Linked DNA regions of Oryctolagus cuniculus. The protein of the gene in region 1 purifies or fractionates together with the protein of each later gene. This does not show direct contact. Links are inferred from orthologs where the notes say so. Each region holds a gene or a part of one and is shown on either strand. Other genes may lie near its edges. The genes, in order: NKX2-1 and FOXA1.

Region 1 (10,114 bases):
GAACTAGTCCCCCACAATCAAGCAGGTGGCAGGTCTTGAGGAAAGGGCTGGAAGACGCATCTGCCACTGCCCTTCCTAGGTGGGTTCCTCAGGGATGACAGAGGGGGCAGCAGCCCATCCACAGACGAAGTGTTTTCTCTGGCCACAGTCATCTCTGACACCCATGCCTCTATCACATCCCTAGTGGTCCTACACACATCCATCTGAGTGCGAACAGACAAGGCAATTAGATTGGAAGAAAGGAGTCAAAATGATCTTTTGGCTGGGGTTGGGGGGACAAGAAGGTGAGAGTTGGAAAAAGGGCAGCTTCATTGCTGGGAAGATTTCGGAGCCCAGAGATGGACACCCACGCAACTGAGTGAAACCTCAGTTCTCCAAGTCCTGCACTGGTGTCCTCCTGCTGGTTACCTGGTCCCTTGCTTGCCGGGGGCCAGAGCAGCCACTAGAAGCAAGGCTGGGGGTGGGGTGGGGTGTGTGGCTACTGCTGACCCCTGAGCTGGGATCCCTGCTTTCAAGCAGAAATAAAACCCTGGATCCCCCGTCACCACTTTCAAAAGAAGCCTCCCACCGAATTCGGCCTCTGGAGGGGCTCTGTCGTAGACTGGAAAGAAAGGCTTGATGTTCCAATCTGCAAGGGCAGTGCCTTTCCTAAGAATGAAGGTTCATCCTGAGTTACTGAAAGCGGGTGTCAGGGCTGGCTGAAGATCAGAGGGGACAGTTCCGAGGTCTCTAAGCATCGGAAGCCAGGTTCTGAAAACAAGCCCTCTGGTCTCTCTTCCCCGCTCATCTCCCTCCTGGTGGAAGCAGTTGGGAGTCCCAGGACTGCTCAAGATTAGATTACACTCAATTCCGAGGCAGAACAAAACTCCCTCTTCTCACGGGCCACAGGGCTGTGCGTCCGGCCTCCACAGCAGGTTCAGGCTAACGATGTGCCCTTCCCAGCCCCACAACAGCCATTGAAAGCCAAATCAAAACCAAACAAAAAGGAGGATTTTTAATCAGAAAAAGAATCTTTTTAATTTGTATAATTTATTAGAAGCTTCTTAGGAACTATATTTTAAGCCAAATATCTACATAAGTTACAACAGAAAAAGACCGACGCCGCAAATACCAAACTGCCAAATAATATCCACAGATTTGTCAATGTCCATAAAAAATGGGAGGGGCTGGGGACCCGGACTGGGTTTCTTTCTTTCTTTCTTTTTACAACAAAATGTACAGATTACTAAAAACTAGGCATTTAGTCCAACTTTTGACAGCATTTTACAGCTACAAGTTCACATCAAACATAAAACAGTTTTCGCTTGCAGAGGCGGTCCTGGCTGAACCTAGACCAGCCAGGGCGTTGGGGGAGGTGGCACTTCCTTTGTGTCTTTGACAAGTGGGTTATGTCCAAGAGTCTTTCCTCTCCCCACTCCCGTCCTCCCTTCGGAAAAAGAATCCTGGTATTTACAAGCGAGTCCACATGGCTGGCAGAGTGTACCCAGAGTGAAGTTTTCCTTCCTTATAGAGTCCAGGGCCATGTCAACCTAGAGTCCTCTCCAATCTGCATCCCTCCCCAGCGTGGGAAACCCATTGGCATCACCGTAAAGACCCCAACCCACCCCAAGCTGTTCAGACTCCTTAAGGAATTGGATTTGCTTGGTTGTTTTTATTTTCTTTAAAAAAAAAAAAAACTCACAAATTAAAAAAAAAAAAAACAGACGTCCAGCAGTTTGGCCTTTGTGGTCTCCTCCCCCGCTCCTTGGTCTAAACGGGGATAGGTTCTTAAGAAAAGTCGAAGCGCGTGGAGCAGCGAGAGAACGGTGGTCCGTGTGGCGGGCGAGGGAAGCGGTGAGGCGGCGCGCTGGGCTGGGGCCGGCCCGGCGAACTTTCACCAGGTCCGACCGTATAGCAAGGTGGAGCAGGACATGGTGCTGTAGTCCGAACCCGAGGAGTTCAGGTGGGAAAGGCTGGAGACCTGGCCCTGCAGTGCCGCGGGACTGGCGGCGTGGTGCGCCAGGTCCGGAGACTGGCCCGCGCTGCCGGGCTGGTGGCCCGGGTGTGCGCCCAAGCCGGCGCCCCCGCTGCCCACCGAAATCGCCGCGGCTGCCGCTTGCGCGGCCTGCGCCTGCTGCTGCGCCTGCTGCTGCGCGTGGCCTTGGAGGCTGGCGGCGCCCGGCGCGGGGGCGCCTGCCTGGCACGGTTTGCCGTCTTTCACCAGGACCGGCACTGCCACACGGCGCGGCGACTGTTGCTGAGCCTGCTGCTGCTGCTGGGGACACGCGGCGCCGCCTCCGCCGCCGCCGCCGCCGCTGTCCTGCTGTAGTTGCTGCTGCGCCGCCTTGTCCTTGGCCTGGCGCTTCATCTTGTAGCGGTGATTCTGGAACCAGATCTTGACCTGCGTGGGCGTCAGGTGGATCATGCTGGCAAGGTGCTCGCGCTCCGGCGCCGACAGGTACTTCTGCTGCTTGAAGCGTCGCTCCAGCTCGTACACCTGTGCCTGGGAGAAGAGCACCCGGCGCTTCCGGCGCGGCGCGCTTGGCAGCGGGGCCATGTTCTTGCTCACGTCCCCCAGCGAGCCCAGGCCTCCCATGCCGCTCATGTTCATGCCGCTCGCCGGGCCCATGAAGCGGGAGACTGTAAGCGACAAACGCACAGCGTCGGCCGGGGCCGGGGCCGGGGCCGGGGCCCGGGCCGGGCCGGGCCAGGCCACCACCGCCTTCAGCGCGCCTTGGCTTGCCCGGCCCGCCCCCGACGGCTTTCTCTTCATCCAGGCCGCCCGGCGCCCGGCCCAAGAGGCCCATCCACGGGGACTCGTAGGCACCTGCCCAGGGCCGAGCCGTCGAAGAGCTTCCTGGCGAGCTCCTGGCTACCCTCTCAGTCTGAGTACGCTCTTTGGACCCAAAAAAGGTGCAGCGAGGGGAGAGGCCGCTCCTGCTTCCCTCGCGCCCAGTGCCAGTCCGAGGCACCGGACAGGGTTCGCCGGCCGCAGGCGGTGACCTGAGCTCCGGTCGGGAGCTGGGGTCTGACCATAGACTTTGGGCGGTTAGAAGAGGGGTATTCACTTCGTAAAGCTCGAGTTCCCAGACGCTTTGCCTCTTGGCTTTCTCTAGGAGGCCCCAAAGAGTGCACTTGCTCGGCCCATTTAGGGCCCCCTCCGGAGCCGGTCACCCTCCCACCTGCCCAGACCCCGACGGGCCGGGCTCCTGAGTGCGTCCCAGCGGGACGGCCTCCCTTCCCAGCCAGGCCTAGCCCCTCGGCGCTCTGCTCGCTCCCGCTCTCTCGGCTTGGAGGTCGCCTCCCTGGGCTCTCCCAGGGCTTCCGCGAGGGGCAGAGCTAAGCCGGTTGGCCAAGAACCGGAGATGCCCGGGTGCCAGCACCTGTCCCCCCGAACCCCAGCGCTAACCAAGTGCCCTCTACCTGGACCCCAAGCCTAACAAGGGGAGGACCCCCACTCCCCCCCACCCCACCCCCAGCTCCCGCACCCAACTCCCTGGCGCCGCTGCCCGGCCGCACGCCCTGCTGGCCAGCGCCTAGCCGGCCGGTGCGGCGCCTCCTGTGCTTAGCCCGCGGCCCCGCACTGGGGCGGCCTCACTTACTGGCGGGGAAGCGCGGGTCTGGGTTGGCGCCGTACCATCCGGGGCCGGAGGCGCTGTTCCGCATGGTGTCCTGGTACGGCGGCAGCTCGCTCATGTTGCCCAGGTTGCCGTTGCAGTAGCCCCCCACGGCGGAATGCGAGAGCTGGGGCACCCCCGCCGCCGTCATGTGGTAGGCGGCGGTGACGGCGCCGTGGTGCCCCACGGCGTGCTGCTGCATGGCCGCGGCCGGCGGTGCCGCCTGGCCTTGCCTGTACGCCGCCAGCGGAGCCCCGAGGCCGCCGCCCTCCATGCCCACTTTCTTGTAGCTTTCCTCCAGGGGACTCAAGATGTCAGACACTGAGAACGGAGTCGTGTGCTTTGGACTCATCGACATGATTCGGCGGCGGCTGGAGGAGGAAGGAAGAGGAGGAAAAAAAAGGGAGAGGGGGAAGGCGAAGCCTCGCTACTTTTTTTTTTTTCCTCCCTTTGCCAAATATTCTGGTGTTACCTTAACGCCGATCTTGTTGGATGTACACGTAACGGAGTGGCCCGAGTCCGCCTTAATTGGCTTGAGTGGAGGCTCGGGGGCTGCCTCGCGTTTGTTTTAGCCCGGCGCCAGGTTTTAGGCAGCCACCAGAGGCGGGGCGTAAGCGCTAAAGCGACAAGACAATAGAAGCCTACATCTTGCCCGAGATAATTAGCTTACATGCTGATGACAAGGTAAACACCTTTAAGTTTCACTTGTCAGGATTTTTAGGTCTCAGGGAGAGAGAGGGGAGACAGAGAGAGAGAGAGAGAGAGGAGAGAGGAGAGAGAGGCTGAGACGAGACCCAAAGCGTTGCCTTCCCCCTCCCCTGGACACCCCCACCCCCATATTTTGTGGGGTGCCGGCGCCGCGCGGGGAGGAGGGGGTGGGGAAGGAGGAGGGAGCCGAGAGCAGGGAGGGCAGGGGGTGGGGTGGGGTGGGGTGGGGAGTAGTCGAGGAGGAGGGACGGCGGGGAGGAAGGAAGGTGACTGCTGCTTTGCAACCAACTCGCGGAGTTACAAAGTGGAACCGCTTTACGATTCGGTCGGGGTTCCCCGGGCGGGGACGGATCTCGGGGAGGAGGGGGCCGAGGGACGGGGTGCGGGGTTTCACCTGAGCCTGCCGGGGCTGCTCCTCCCTCCCGCCGCGGCCTCCCAGCCCCGCGCCTTCCCACTGCCTCGGGACCACATCGGGCTTCGCTGCGCCGAGCCCCGGTCGCCACCGAATGAGCGAGCGAGTCTGGGGACGAACCCTGGGGCCGCACTGTTGGTCTACGTGTCTGTCAGTCTGTCTGCCTCCTCTGCCGCCGTCAGAGGGACACCTCTGCTCCCCGCCCCCTTCCCCCCTACCCCCCTTGCCCGAGAGAATCGCGCCGGGCGGAGGGGGCGCTGAGTAGGGGATCGACTGCCTCCGGGAGGCTGTCCGGATCCCCGCGCCACCCCACCCCCAGCCCGGGGTCTTCTCGGCGGGCCAGCCCTCCCCGCCTCCCCCCACCAGGACCCCCTCCCCACCGCACCCCACACCCACCCCCCGCCGAGCAGGCGCGACGCTGGCCTCCGGCGCGGGGCCCACTGGGGTCCCTCACTGGGGTTGCCCCACCGCAAACAAACCTGGCGTCCCTGGCCCTTGCCCATAGCCCTGACACGCGGGGTTCTGGGGCCGGAGTAGGCTTGCCCAGGCCATCGCAGCCCCGGCACCACCGGAGCCCACGGCCACGCTGTTTCCCCCTCCTCTGCTTCTGGGAGGGCTCGGGCCGGGGATGGCGAGAGAGCCCGCCCGTCTATAGCTGGGGTGTAGCAGAGCCTGCCCCAAGGCGGGACCCGCGGGGCCGGGAGGGGGCCGGTACCCAGGCGCAGGCAGCCCCGCGGGCTGCAGGCTGGGCTGAGGCTCGCCTCCGCCCGGAGCTCAGCCATGCAAAAGTGCACTTGCTTCCCCGGGAATAACCAAATATCTTTGTTTAAAGTGGCGGCGTAAATGGCCAGTCGCTTTGTGACCACGCTGGATATTAGTAGATGAGGATCATTCTGCTTCAATTGGGCGCCTCTCATCCAGCGAGCAAGAAACTGCTTAGGAGGAAGTGGGTTTCCTGTCTGCGCGTTCCCAGGCTTCAAGTGTGAGCCCCGCGCCTTGAGGGTCCTTGGGCGCCTGGCGAGGGGGAGCTGTGGGCTGCACTCCCCGGCGGGCCCGTGGGCGGCAGCTGGGTTATTCCGGCCAGGCCGGAGCCTACAGCCGAGTGGACTACCGGACGGAGCCCTGCGTGCTGCAGATTGTGAGACCCATGCCGACTTGTCCCCCTTGGATTGCAACCGTTTTTGTTGTTTGTTTTTGTTTTGCTTTCCTTTGGCTGTCGGAGCCTCCTCCCCGCGCCGGGGGCTGAGGGGCGGAGCGCTCCTCGGCCCAGCAGGTGCCTCCAAGACCCTTCCGCGGTCGGTCAAGCAGGCTTCTCGAATTCGGTTTTTTTGTTTTGTTTTCACGGTTCTCCGCCAACCCCACCCCCACCTCCAACACACACACACTTTCCTGAACCGCTGATGAAGAACAGGCAGTTTTGAACCTTTTAATTCAGCAGGTCAGGCTCTTTTTTAAATTATTATTATTAAAAGCATTTACAGTAGGGAAAGTTTGCTTATCAGAGTGCTCTGTCCTTCCTCAATACGAAGCTAACTTCTATGTTAACATTCTCTTTCCTCACCTGCCACCTCCCTTAGGGGGAGACACAGAAAGTTCGGGAGTCCCTGGGTCGCCTGGGCCTGCACTGCCTGGAGGTCCCAGCGGCGGTGGCCTTGGAGCGGGAGACAGTGCACCTTGCGCGTGGGGACGCGCTTGTTGCTGCTGCTGCTGCTCCTTCGAAAACCAGGAGCGAAGCTTGGCTCCTGCCCTCCCCCCTTCCAGGGGCTTCCCTGGAGGGGGGGCGCCTTTAGGAAGGACTCAGACCCTATCCACCGCGCTTCGGTCTCTGTGGTGTCTTTTATAAGCCCTGGAAACAAGGAGGGGAGGAGACGCCAGCGGACGACAGAGAGCAGGCAAAACTGAGTTGCAGACCCGATCTGCAGGGGAGCCCTGGGCGGGTCTGTGGCCCCCGGAGGGGTCTTACTGCGAAGGCAGATTGGGTTTCCAAGCCTCTCTCTTTCCATTATTTCATGCTTGTTGGTAAATGTAAGACGCACCGACTGTGGGACGTCGTACATCTCTCCTAGTCTCAAGGCCGTTAGGAATGGAAAATCTTCTCAAGGAGTGTGTGTGTGTGTGTGTGTGTGTGTGTGTGTGTGAAAGAGATCAGGCACATCAAAGATGTGAAATCCGTTCAGGTAGCTGTCGTGACGTTTCCCCTCCCCCACTTTAGGGTTCAGGACTGGAGGGAAGGGCAGAGGTGGATGAACCCTCCACGGCCTCCCCGGAGTCGTGCCGCCTCGGGCGGGCTTTCGTTCCGCAGCAGGCTCTGAGCGCACGTGGCTAGCAGCTCGGACATTCCCGGGAGTGCGTGAACAACCCAGGCCGCAGCTTTCGACGAGACCGCAGGCCGGCACTTGGCACCACGGAGCAGGCGGCGAGTGGGGGCGCTGAGCGGGCGCCCGCGCTCCACGCGGGTGGGGCCCTACCTGCCACCGCTTCGACCTCTTGGCGCAACAGGGTCTGTGCTTGAGTCCCCGCGGGCAGGCGCGCACCAGCAACGGCTCTCTCTTGTCTGGACCTCGCCTGGGCCTTTGCGGCTCCCTGCGGCCCAGGCCCCGCGCCAGCCCCACCACTGTCCCTTCGAGTGCAGCCACCGCTCCGCGTTCTTCCCAGGCGCGCTGCCTTGCTAAGAATAAGCCCAACGCGAAGGCGCCTGGAGGCCACAAGGCACACGTGTGTATCTCCTGGTGTGTCCAAGCCACGGCCTCGGGGGCCTCACCTGTGGCCCCGACACCTGCCTCTGACCCAAGAGAGATTTTTCCTTCGGCTGCCTCGGTTCTCATCTTAAATAGGGCAGACTCCGCTTAAGCCAGGGCTTTATGCGTGGCTCAGTCCACGGGGAGCCCTGTCTTCCGCATCCCTCGGCTAACTGGCTCCAGGGTGGGGTGGGCACTGTGCGGAGCCAGCGGGCGGGACACAGCGCTGGCCCGCTGTGGAGCTGTCCCTGGTGCGGTCGCACACGGCCTCGGCCATCCCAACCACTGAGTTTCGCTGGCTGCGGCTCCGGGCCAGGACGCGCCCTGGGGGCGCCGAACTGTCATCAGCCTCCGCTCATACCCGCAGAAGAAGGGCAATGCTTCTCCTCCTGCCCTTCGCCCTGGGTCACTTGGGGAGAACAGAGGTCGCACACAGACGGCTGATTCGGGGTCTGTGATTCGACCGCGTGGCACGTGGGCGCAACACCTGTCCCGCTGTCCCTCGTGTCCCCGGCCTGCTTTTCCTGACGTCCTGCGTGGCCCCTCACACCTCCGCGGGCACTGACTCGGCTCCAGGCTTTACTGGAATTCTAGTTTCTTTGGGCAAATACTGATTGAGCAACGGCTCCGTGCCAGGCAAGGTGCTTGGCGGGCAGATCCAGCTATAGACCGTCTAGATGTGGCTCCACGCACACAGGACTCTCAAATGAATCACAAAAAGCACCCAGGTATGACGTCGTTACTGTATGACAGGTGTTACTGCGGAATTTCAACGAGATGGGTCGTAAAGAATGTCGGCACCATTTCCCGGTGCTCCCACGCTCCGGGGTTGTGGGAAGTACACATGAAGTCAGGGTGCGAGGCCTGGCTTTGCGGGTTTTCTGGTTGTGCAGCTTTGCTTTCCTGGCTCTCGCCACACCCTGCAACAAAACTAATGTGTTCAGGCTTCCCTCTTTGAGGGCGAGATTCCCCTTGATCTATCCCTGCGTGCCTGGAGAAATCTTAAGGAAGTCTCTTAGCACCTGTGCCTGGGGCTGCAGCAATGGTTGGAACCTACCCTGTGTACGTACCCTCCCGGATTTGTTGAGCTGGGGATTCGGGTAACGCAGGAGGAAACCTGATGTCCGAGTTTGTAAACTATGTCTGGCAAAGAGGAGTTCTTTACGCTCTGCTTTTTGGGGGTTATAGAAGCGGGGTGGGAGGGGGAGGCAGGGCAGGAATGGCCTTGGCAAGAGTCCCAGGGCGGAGGAGGAGTTGGAGGGAAAAGCTGCCCAGAGATGCAGGGCCCCAGTGTACCTAGTCTCAGCGGTCTCCTTGCTCAAATATTCTCTAGAGGCTGTGTCCACACTCCCGCCGTCAGGTGCAGGCTCCCGGGCTGGGCTAGCAGGCCTGCGAGCGCCCTCGAGGCCACCTACCCCGGGGCAGAAGGCAGGGACGCAGCCGGGCGTTGGGGGGCGCTGCTCCCCAACTCTGAGATCCAGCGGCTGCCGCCTCTCCTTGATGGGGTCTCACGGGGCCCTCTCCGGGCTGCTTTCCCAGGCGCCAGAACCGGAAGCTCCCAGGGAGTACCCGCGAGGTGTGCAGCCGCGCGGCGTTCGCAGGCGCCCTCTCTCCTCAGTGGGATCCTTGATGGTCCTTTTGGGGGATGCCTTTTTCCCAAGGCGTGGCCTCCGGGCAGTGGGGATGGGGTACGCGAAGCGGCCCCGGGACTTGGAGGCATGGTTCCTGCGCCTTCCTGTCGAGCGCTGGCGTGCTCTGGGGTCGGGATGGCGGTCAGGGGGCGTCCACGAAGGCCAGGCCCTCGGGGAGGACCACATCTGCCATCTCGAAACCTACCTATTTCCATGCCACGCAGCTCAAGCCCTCGAGTTGTATTTAGGGACCACACCCGCGCCACCAGCTCCAGGTGCGCCCCCTGGTGGGGAGAGACCTGAGGGGTAGGAGCTAAGGTGGAGAGCCATTCACAAAGCAGAGAGGAGAGGGATCGGCAGGAGGTGGCCAACGCGGACGGGAGGCCTCCCGCAGACTCAGCGGGGCCAGCGCCGCTGCGTCGGGCCCCAACAGGACGGAGAACTTGGGGCTCGGTTTTCCCCCTCGTTCTCCAGTACTGTTTAGGTTGACTGCCTGTAGGCGGCAAAAGTGTAGGCGGGAGCCTCTAGCCTAAGGGGCGGGGACACCGGCAGGGGCGCCGGGGCGCCCGCCGCCCTTCCACGGACCCAAAGGACTGGTTTCGGAAGGCTGCTTGTGCCCCAGGACCTGCGCAGGCTCATTCAGTGTAGACGACCGAAACCCGCAGCTCTCTGTGCCCTGCATCCCCCACCAAACCGCAGCCGCAACAGCTTGCGCCCTAGCGTTCTCTGTGCAGTCGCCAGCAGCGCTGGGATTCCCTCCTGCGCCCCTTCCCGCCTCTGCAACCTTCCACACTTGTCCTCTCCTTCACTCCTAGCAAGCTTCAGGTGGCCCCGGCTTCTACCCCAGGCCCGCTCCGAGGATCTCCGTGGCCCATCGGGTTTTCTGGGACCTGGCGGAGGCTGCAATCCCCCTGGCTCTGCGCGGCTCCACGTCTGGCAGTTGCAGACCGAGGCGCTCCGCAGCGCCCTCTTCCGGCCATCTGGAGACCTGTCTCATGTGTGCGGTCCCAGGGAAGCTTCGCTAGAGGT
Region 2 (10,114 bases), about 1.1 Mb from region 1:
GATGTGACCTCCCTCTAGTCACGTCAATAAATTAGTCTTTTTTGTGAGGCCACAGCATGATTTTGAAATTAGGAGGACACTAGGGAAACCAATACAATAAAAAAAAAATACTGACTAGAATGCAATTTTACAGCTTTTTTTTCCCCCAAGTGTAAGCTACCATTAATATGACTGTTACAAAGCATTTGTTAAATAGAACTATGTAAATCCAAGGGTATCCTATTTGTATAGGCAAAGTTAAACCACGAAGGAGAACTGAGGGGCTGTGGGAAAGCTCCTGGGGGTGTGTGTTGGGGGAGGGAAGAATGTGGATTGGAAAGTGTGGTGGTTGGGGTTGCAGAAACTAAACATAGTCCACCCATCAGGAAGGATTTAGTACTAAGCTGCAGGCCTCGAGGCAAGAGATGAAATTCGTTGACTTTTCCATCGTCCGTTGCCCATTAGTGCGAGCTTCTGCCCCTGGGGAGGAACCGAGGTACTCACCCACCTGCACCCAACCTTCCGACCTCCCAGCTCCCGCACACTGGAGCAGCAGGTGGAAAAGCGCTGGGATATCAAAGGCCCTGGGCCCAGTCCCTGACACACAGTAGGACCTCAGCTGCTCTGGTTCTTTCTGCACTAACTCAGACTGAAGAGGCGTCACTTCTCTCTAATGCCCCACCTTCATGGTGAAGCATGGGTTTCCAATTCCTCCCCAGTCCCCTAACACTGGTGTTTTTTAAAACACACGCAGAAAGGCACAGGTAGTGTGGGCACCACGCGGCGAAGACCCTGACCCCCAGCAGCTAAGCAGGAAGGGACTGGCTGGACCTAAGCACTTCCCCCAGCGGGAACTGACGGATGTAAATGAGGCAGTCGGGGTAACTCGGGGGCACAGAAGCCGCGAGAGGCGCGACAGCCGCGGGGACCCGGGCCTGGACTAGCCGGCCGTGCCCCGCGCCAAAGCCCCCGAGAAAGGCAGGTTCCTGTTCTACGCGCGGACTGGTGGGACACTTTTTCCTCCCAGTGCAGAGGATTGCCCAGGAGGTCAAGTCGCCCTTCTCAACCTTTCTCATTTGAATACATGAAAATGTGAGTCGTTTTTGGCAAGACGATGCTCGCTCGCGGCCAGACGGTTTTGTCTCCCTCGGGCGAGGCGGGGTGGGGAGCAGCTCCGGCTCCGGCATCCGGCTGCGGGCGAGCCTGGCCAGCGCACCGGCCCGTGCAGAAACCCGGTGGAGGCTCTGGGAGCAGTCAGGGAAGGGACAAACCCAGTGGCTGTTTTTCTTTCAACAGAACAGGCGAAGTGGTGGATAAGTGTTAAGTGTTGGTCACCCACTCCTACACTCAGACACACACACACACACGCACGCACGCACACGCAGGACGCCGCAGTAGAAGCGGACTCCAAGCAAACACAGCCAGCCAAGGCCCGTCTGTGGTCCCAGGGCCCTTACCCACTGGGAGTCGGACGCCTCGTGTGTTGTGAATTCCTTAATGACTTAACGATGGGAGGGGAGGAAGGAAAGGCAGTGTGAGCGAGGAAAGGAAAGAGAGGCAGCGAAGGAACAGGAGGCTGGGAGTGGGCCCAGTGCTGCCCGCTGCGCGCCACAGGTCCGGGCGGTGATGGCCCCGCGGACACGGGCCAAGGCGCCTCGTGCGGGTGAGGGTGGGATGCAGGAGGCAGACTCCGGAGGCCGCCCTCGCCCGCTGCCCGGGCCCCGTCCCCAACCCAGCGCACACCTCTGCTTTACAACGTACGCTAGTCGCTTCCAACATCCCAGGCCTTCCCCGCTCCAAAGCCGAGCCAGGTCCCAGTCGGGGTCGGCTTTGAACTGGGTTAAAGACCACAGGTCTTAGTTTCCTTGCGTCTGATTCTCCTCGGCGGGAGGAGGACATAAGCTTCTTATCTGGGTGGGGGGTGGAGGCCCGCGGAGGGGCTCGGACCACCCCGCACAGAGAGTGGCTGGACCTGCGGCGGCCGTGACCTGACCACAGCCCCGACGGGGGGAGGGGCGCAGACCCTGCCTTCTGCCCACCCTGCACCCCTCGGAACGACAGGCCTCTCCCTGCTCCTTTCGCCGTCCGCACCCTCTGCTTTGCGCGCTCCAGCTGAGGGTGTGCGGCCGCCAGGGGCTGCCCCGGGGCCTCACGCTGGGAAGGCTAAGCTGCAGCAGCCGAGCTGGGTCAGGGGACCTCGTGCCGCCCCTCGTGCGGGGCCGACTGCACCGGAGCAGGCCCCAGGGGAGTTGCAGTCGCCGCTTCCGGGAAGGGCGGAGCCGCTTCCTCTGCCCTCGGCAGCCCCGAGTTCCCGCGCCCCGCGCGCGGTCCTCACCGCCGGGGCTTCCTGCACTACAGGAGCCCGCCCTCAGCGCTGTCTGGGCGGACGCAGGCTGCCCCAGCCCCATAGGCACCCAGGCGATGTGGCACGGGACGCCCTGGGAGCCGCCACGTGGCTGCTCTCGTTCGTCCCCTGCGCCGGGGCCACCCAGGCGGCCCAGAGCTGAAAAAAGGTCTCGTGCACCCTATTGCCCGCACGTTTGCAAAGCACAATGCTGCAGTGGTGTGAGGGCCTGTTTGGGGAAAGAGGTCAGGAAGGAGCTGGCTTAGGCGGCCACGCAGGTTACCTGGCTGCCCGCTGGCCAGTAGCCTCCTAAGTTTATGGCTGCGTGAACCTCTGTGTTCCAAGTCAAAGGGCGGCTCCGCCACGCTGATTCACCCCTCAACCTCGAAGAGACTGGCCGGCTTGCACCTGGGCACACTACGACTTCAGCTCCTGAAGTTGTCGGGTGTTGTGCGATGCTGCCCCTGAGATGCCACATGCCAGCTCGCCTTGGTGGCCTCTGGCAGGATGCGCGCGGGATTCCAAGCCCCTCTCCCCCGGCGGTGCCGGCTGGGGGCACCTGCCAGGCACTCAGCCTTCCTAGTCTGCGACAGGAGGCGCTGTGTTCGCGCGGATTCCCGGGGCTGCCGACCCGGGAACCCGAGACCTGGACCAAGGCTGTAGGGCTGACTTGTCCAGACCATTGTGCACCCCCAGTCTTGGCCTTTGAAGAAGCCTGGGAGAAACCTCACTTTGGCCATTGCTCTACGACCGACTGGGATATATATATGCGCATATACACGACTTTCTATATAAGTGACTAGGACTTTCTATATATATATATTTGACTTTAAGAAAAAAAGAGAGGCCAGTAGGTTTGGAAACTAGCAGCTGCGGCCAAGCTGTTACTGCCCTTAGAAAAGCCGCCAGTCGTGCTCAACACTGCAGAAGCGCCAAGTTGGAGAATCACCGGGGGCAGGAACAAGGAAGCTCATTAGCCCTGAAAGTCCCCCACACCCGTGTACTTTGCAAATGGAACTGAGGTCCTGCTGCTGACGGGAACTTTGAACAAAAGAAGGAGTTGCTGAGACATATTCACAGATACATTTACACCAAGTGATAGGACCGCCTGGCAGTGACGGGAGCCGGCTCTGGGGAGGGAGCCTGCGCTGCCGAGTTCCAGGTGGATTTAATTTCACTCATGCCTTTCCTGACAATGTGACGTGTCCTCCCTCCCATGCACTTTTTTTTTTTTTAAAGGAATTGTAATCCAATGCTTTTATCTTTTTTATTTCCTTAACTGCACATCTTCACCCTCTCTGCTCCCCTGCTGATTTAAGAGATTTGTTTGGTTCAAGGATTTAACGCGATTCTCTTGCCAGATTTCAAGGAAGAAAGGTTTAAAAGAACAAAGCACGGGGTGGGGGGAATAAGCAATCTGTTTGGAAGACAAGTAAAAACACATTTCTTAAAATGAGATTAATGGCATTTTTAAAACTTGGCAAAACAAGAATAGTTTGCGGGCTCTCACTTTAGACTTTTATTTTATTGCCACTTAATGGAACCCATGGATGTACAGGCAGTACAACACCTGCTTGGTCTCTCTCACGCACACACACACATACTTAGAAAAACACACGCGGAGACACAGCACCTGCCACCAGCTCAGCGCCTGTCACCCAGTCTCCTTCCCCAGGACACGCGGGCACTCCACTACCCAAAAGGAGACTTTCCCACCCATGTCTAGGAGCCGGCTCAGGCCCTGGGGTTCTAGGTCGGCCCCTCCAGGTCACAGAGCCGAGAGCGCCCTGCTGCCAGCCGCCTCTGGCCCGGGCTTGGCGCTGGGCGAGCTGGGCAGACGCGTTCCAGCGCCGGCCCCTGCGAGTCCAGCCGAGGCGCGTGTTGAGAGAGACGTCCCCTCCCCCTGACCTTTCCCTATCAGAAACCAGACGGTCGCCTCCGGCTCGGTCCTCTGAGCTACTGAAGGGGGGCGGGAGGAGGAGCCGGGCAGCGGGAGGACGGCCCGACGTGGGTCCGCCTGCCCTATCACACAGACATCTGCTCTCAGTTTCTTCCTCTTCACGATCGCTAACAGATGACGAGGGGAGTGGAGTGGATCGAGGCGGAAAAAAAAAAAAAGTTATGTCATAAAGATATAAAACGGTGCTGTGACTCACCTGCTCTTAGCCGCAGGTACGAGTTTCGTGGCAGCGCCTCCGCTCTGCTAGCCGGGAGCCCGGGCCGGCCCGACGTCACCGGCTCGGCTGAGTCAGCGACGAGGCCAAATCGGGGCTCTTCCCCTTTCCTAGCCCAGGAGGGAAAGGAAAAATAAAAAGTCTGCATCCTTCAGTCTCCCGGGACTGCACTTTGGGGTCAGGAATCAGGAAAGGTGGGCGGGGTGGGCGTGGGGGGGACAGGGACAGGCAGAAGACCGTACGGGGCCTCAGCCCAGGTCTCGGGCGTGCTGAGCGCCTCCGGGGAGGGGCCCAGGGGTCATTCGGCCCGCACAGTCCCTAAGCTCCGGCCCTTCTCCGGCTACGCGGTTCCCATCCCGAGTCCTCGCCTGCCTGCCCGGCCCCGCCTATTTTTCTTTCTTTTTTTTCCTGTTTTTCCCCCCAAAGGGGGGGCTACACCCCAACGCAACCCCGTTCCCCCTCTTTTCCCGGCCTCCGGGCTTAAACCAATTACACTGCTTTGCAAACAAAGTGAGGGCCGGGTTTGGGGGGAGGGGGCCCGGCGGGAGGGGCGCCGCTCGGCGGCGGCGGCGGCGGCGGCGGCGGCGCGGCGGGGCGGGAGGCGCGGCGGCCGGACTGGCGGGCGGCCGCCTCGCAGGTGCACCTCGGGCTTTGTAGGTGCGAGCGTCTTTGTGCAGCGGACAAATGGGGAGAGGACGAGGAGGTGGGCACTCGGGCGACGTAAGATCCACATCAGTTCAACTGCACTCGCCTCGCAGAGGCCGCCCGCTCAGTTCCCGCCGAGGCGCTCCCCGGCGCCGCGCTCCGCGGCAGCCGCCTGCCCCCGGCGCTGCCCCCGCCCGCCGCGCCGCCGCCGCCGCCGCCGCCGCGCACGCCGCGCCCCGCAGCGCCGGGCTCCCTCCGCCCAGGGGTGGCGTTGGGCCCGCGCGGGCGCTCGGGTGACTGCAGCTGCTCGGCTCCCCTCCCCCGCGCCGCGCCGCGCCGCGCGGCCGCCCGTCGCCTCGCACAGGGCTGCATGGTCGCATCGGGCAGGGTGGCTCCAGGATGTTAGGGGCTGTGAAGATGGAAGGGCATGAGAGCAGCGACTGGAACAGCTACTACGCGGACACGCAGGAGGTGAGAAGCGGGCGGGCGGCGCGGCGCTCCCAGTGCCCCAGTCGGGGGAGGCTGGGGCCAAGTGGGCGCCGGGCAGGGCGGGCGGCGGCGGGCGGGCAGGGGGCGTCGCCTCGGTGCCCCGGGTGCATTCTGCGGCCGGCCGGATGGTGGGGGACGGCCCCGCGGGCGCTCGGGACCCGGGCGCTCGCAGCGGGCGAGAAGAGTTTTAGGGAACTCCAGGCTTGAAAAGCAGCGCTCCGGGAAGTACTTGGCGCTTGCCCGCGGAGAGCGGGAGCCGAGCCCGGCCGGGGGGCCACGGCGGGCGGGCGGGCGCCGGCGCGGGCTGAAAGCAGCTTCGAAACCCAGAGCCGTCCCGCCGTGTAACAATCGGGCATCTTCTGGTGAGAACGCCCTGCCGCTCGTTTGGGCGTCTAGAGAGTGAAAACGATTCCTCAATTTTACAAAACTTGTTCTTCAAAAGCCCTGTTCGGGGAGAAGCGTGCTCCTTCGTCTCCAGAACCGCTGGGTGGCGCTGGTGCGAGCCGAATCTTTTTCCAGAACTCGGGGCCAAGAACCTGTTTCTCTTCATTGTCCCCTTGGTGGCACGTTCGTGGGGTTTATTTTACAGTGCTCACAAAAGGACTGCGAAGCCACCAGGTACAGGCAGGACTGCCACCTACTAAAAGTATTTTTCTACGAACAGCTGGCGATACCCCCCCCCCCTCAAAGTTTGATTAGCATCATTGAAAAGACTTGCTGGAATTGTCTTGGATAATCCTGAGAAGACGAAAAGAAAATAAACGCCAAAGTAGAAAATATCTTAAGACGTGGACAGAAAAAAAGCTCGAAATCAGGAAATATTCTCAAGGCAATTGGTTTGTGTGTGTTTCTGGACTCCCAGATTTACCTGAGTGCATTTGCACGCCTTACCTTAAGGGATGTTGCTACTTAAATCGAATTGTTCACCACTTAGGATTTCTCTTTAAGTCACAGTTGCTGATGAAAATCCTTGCGAGGAATCATTACTCTTTGTTAAATTATCAGACAGTTTTTAGCATCGCTGGGCTCTGCGTTTTCCCAAATGGCTGTGGATGGGTTTTAACCAGCTGATGGTTTTTAGAAACCCTCAGAACTCTTAGGTTTAACGATGATGCAGACATCTCGACCCACCACAGTTACGACCTCTAAAGAACCTTCTGTTCCTTTAAAACTGAGAATTGGGAACTAGAATATAGCCTGAGGAGAAAATAAGTCGAATTTGATCTACAGATTTAAAAATATTTGAAACTACTCCTGTAGTGTCAACCGCCGGGCTTTAAAAATGATCAGCGGCAATAGATCAATATTTAGGGGTGGGGGTGTGTGTGATTATTTCAATAAATTGTGCCTCCGAAATTGTCAAACCCTGCGGGACTGGAAATCCTAGCAAAACCCATGCAAGTTTTTGAACGGCCTGCAGAGGTGCGAACCGGTAGTTGTGACAAAGTTAAAATGCACGCGGAGAGTTGTGTCAGGCAGCGCTTTCCCCCTTCTATTGAAGATCTGTTGTTACTTTTATCTCCCAAAACTGACTTCTGTGTCTGCGTCCTCTTTAATATTACAGTAGCTACAAGAAGGCGGAGCACTCTGCTGCTATACTCTCAAAAAGTCATCATTTGTCAAAAAATAAAAAATTTTTAAAAACCCTCCTAAGATCATCAAGGCCATCAAGTTGCTGGGAAATTAGTGGGTCAGGGCCTCCGACGGCTGCCGGCTCTGCTCCGGCAGGGACTTCGTTAACAGCCGCCTGGCACCCCCGAGCCTGCGGCGCGGCGGTAAGGGCCAGGCCGGAGCGAGGTGGGCGCAGGGGCTGGCTTCTGCGGCCCGCGCCGCGCACGCAGGGCGCCCTAGGGGGCAAGTGAAAAAGCAGAGTATTCTGCTGTCCGAGTTCTACAGACGCTTTGCCCCCAAAGGGCGCTTTGCCGAGGCTGGTCCGGGGTATTGACTTGGGCTACCGCCTGGCGCTGGATGGAGGAGGCGGGGAAGGCTCCCCAGGCCTGGCGCGTAAGGCGATTACACATCTTCCCAGGGACATATTTTCTGTGTGCGCTCGCCTTTCATGCCTGCCGCGCTGGGATGGTCCCCCTGCGGTGCAGGACATCTTGGCTCCGTCTGGGGAGAGCGCCCAGCAGTTGGCCCCGGGTGTGTGTGCGTGCATGGGGATGTGGGGTGGGGAGGGGGTCGTTGCGTGCTTGGCAGGCGTGCTCTCCCGGGCTGGCCCCCTCCCCTGGCCGGCCAGACGACCCCCCCCCCCCCCCGCGTCCAGCGCCCACCTCTAACCCCGCCCTTCGGGGCCTCTTGGCTCGCTGTCTCCGCTCCAGGCCTACTCCTCCGTCCCGGTCAGCAACATGAACTCGGGCCTGGGCTCCATGAACTCCATGAACACCTACATGACCATGAACACCATGACCACCAGCGGCAACATGACCCCGGCCTCCTTCAACATGTCCTACGCCAACCCGGGCCTGGGGGCCGGCCTGAGTCCTGGCGCGGTGGCCGGCATGCCTGCGGGCTCGGCGGGCGCCATGAACAGCATGACGGCAGCGGGCGTGACGGCAATGGGGACGGCGCTGAGCCCGGGTGGCATGGGCGCCATGGGCGCACAGCCCGCAGCCTCCATGAACGGTCTGGGCCCCTACGCGGCCGCCATGAACCCGTGCATGAGCCCCATGGCGTACGCACCGTCCAACCTGGGCCGCAGCCGTGCGGGCGGAGGCGGCGATGCCAAGACGTTCAAGCGCAGCTACCCGCACGCCAAGCCGCCCTACTCCTACATCTCGCTCATCACCATGGCCATCCAGCAGGCGCCCAGCAAGATGCTCACGCTGAGCGAGATCTACCAGTGGATCATGGACCTCTTCCCCTATTACCGGCAGAACCAGCAGCGCTGGCAGAACTCCATCCGCCACTCGCTGTCCTTCAACGACTGCTTCGTCAAGGTGGCGCGCTCCCCCGACAAGCCGGGCAAGGGCTCCTATTGGACGCTGCACCCAGACTCCGGCAACATGTTCGAGAACGGCTGCTACTTGCGCCGCCAGAAGCGCTTCAAGTGTGAGAAGCAGCCGGGGGCTGGCGGCGGGGGAGGCGGCGGCGGTGCCAAGGGCGGCCCCGAGAGCCGCAAGGACCCTTCGGGCGCCGCTCACCCCGGAGCCGACTCGCCCCTGCACCGGGGGGTGCACGGGAAGGCCGGCCAGCTAGAGGGCGCGCCGGCCCCCGGGCCCGCCGCCAGCCCCCAGACTCTGGACCACAGCGGGGCTGCGGCGACAGGGGGCGCCTCCGAGTTGAAGGCTCCGGCCTCCTCGTCTGCTCCCCCGATAAGCTCTGGGCCCGGGGCGCTGGCGTCTGTGCCCCCCTCCCACCCGGCCCATGGCCTGGCCCCTCACGAGTCCCAGCTGCACCTGAAGGGGGACCCCCACTACTCCTTCAACCACCCTTTCTCCATCAATAACCTCATGTCCTCCTCGGAGCAGCAGCATAAGCTGGACTTCAAGGCCTACGAGCAGGCACTGCAGTACTCGCCCTACGGCGCCGCGCTGCCCGCCAGCCTGCCCCTGGGCAGCGCATCGGTGGCCACCAGGAGTCCCATCGAGCCCTCAGCCTTGGAGCCAGCCTATTACCAAGGTGTGTATTCCAGACCCGTCCTAAACACTTCCTAGCTCCCGGGACTGGGGGTTTGTCTGCCACAGTCGCGCTGGTAGCAGGAGAGGAAACAAAACAAAACAAAACAAAGCAAAAAAAAAAAAAGCCAACAATAAAACAAAACAAAAACTCACACACACCAAACTGACAACAGCATAAATTCCTGACAGCTATTTTATTTCTTTTCTCGTGCACAATCTTTCCCCCAGTGCAAAGGACTGTTACTTTATTATTGTATTCAAAACTCATTGTGTACATTATGACAAAACCAACCAATCCCCAAACCAACAAGTTTTTTTCCTGGGACGTTGGATGATCCACAAGAGTGTGTGTGTGTGTGTGTGTGTGTGTGTGTGACTCTCCTTCCTTTTTCCTTCCTTTCTGTCCTCTTTCCTCTTCAGACATATTCTAGTCTGGGCAGGGTTTATTTAAAAAAAAAGTGGTCAAGTTTGTAAAATATTTGTGCTTACACACACACATGCGTGCACACACATGCACACACACAAGTTTACAGGTCTGTGGCAATACTCTTAAACCCTAAGAATGGAAGTGAAGAAACAGGCAGACACTAGGGGCTCTTAAAAGTATGGAAAGACTTCGCTGCTGTTTCACAGCAAGACGTAAACAGACTGCAAACACCAGAGCCATTGGGTTTTTTCAGTTTACCTTTCCGGTCCCTTCAGATAGCAGGTGTTCTTAAATGAAATTCATATACATTGTGTTCAGACTTAATCATGCACATGCTCACATTTGTAGACATCCTCCATATATTTACATAACTTATAGATGTAATAGTTGGTGATACACATGCTACTGTTTTCAAGAGTTGCCTGACCAAGAAGTT

The links.
Region 2: the proteins of NKX2-1 (region 1) and FOXA1 purify together in Homo sapiens (affinity purification with western blotting; 3 studies listed by BioGRID and IntAct, with this or other methods). This does not show direct contact. The link is inferred for Oryctolagus cuniculus from reciprocal best matches to the Homo sapiens genes NKX2-1 and FOXA1.

The regions. Positions count from the first base shown.
Region 1 is NC_091443.1:39,101,619-39,111,732, reverse strand, and holds NKX2-1 (homeobox protein Nkx-2.1), read right to left. Parts: upstream 4,944-10,114; 5' UTR 4,776-4,943; coding exon 4,699-4,775; intron 4,153-4,698; exon of another isoform or gene 4,069-4,152; intron 3,968-4,068; coding exon 3,582-3,967; intron 2,620-3,581; coding exon 1,874-2,619; 3' UTR 990-1,873; downstream 1-989. UniProt on the Homo sapiens protein: Transcription factor that binds and activates the promoter of thyroid specific genes such as thyroglobulin, thyroperoxidase, and thyrotropin receptor. Crucial in the maintenance of the thyroid differentiation phenotype.
Region 2 is NC_091443.1:37,968,121-37,978,234, forward strand, and holds the start of FOXA1 (hepatocyte nuclear factor 3-alpha), read left to right. Parts: upstream 1-5,351; 5' UTR 5,352-5,541; coding exon 5,542-5,613; intron 5,614-7,952; coding exon 7,953-9,287; 3' UTR 9,288-10,114. UniProt on the Homo sapiens protein: Transcription factor that is involved in embryonic development, establishment of tissue-specific gene expression and regulation of gene expression in differentiated tissues.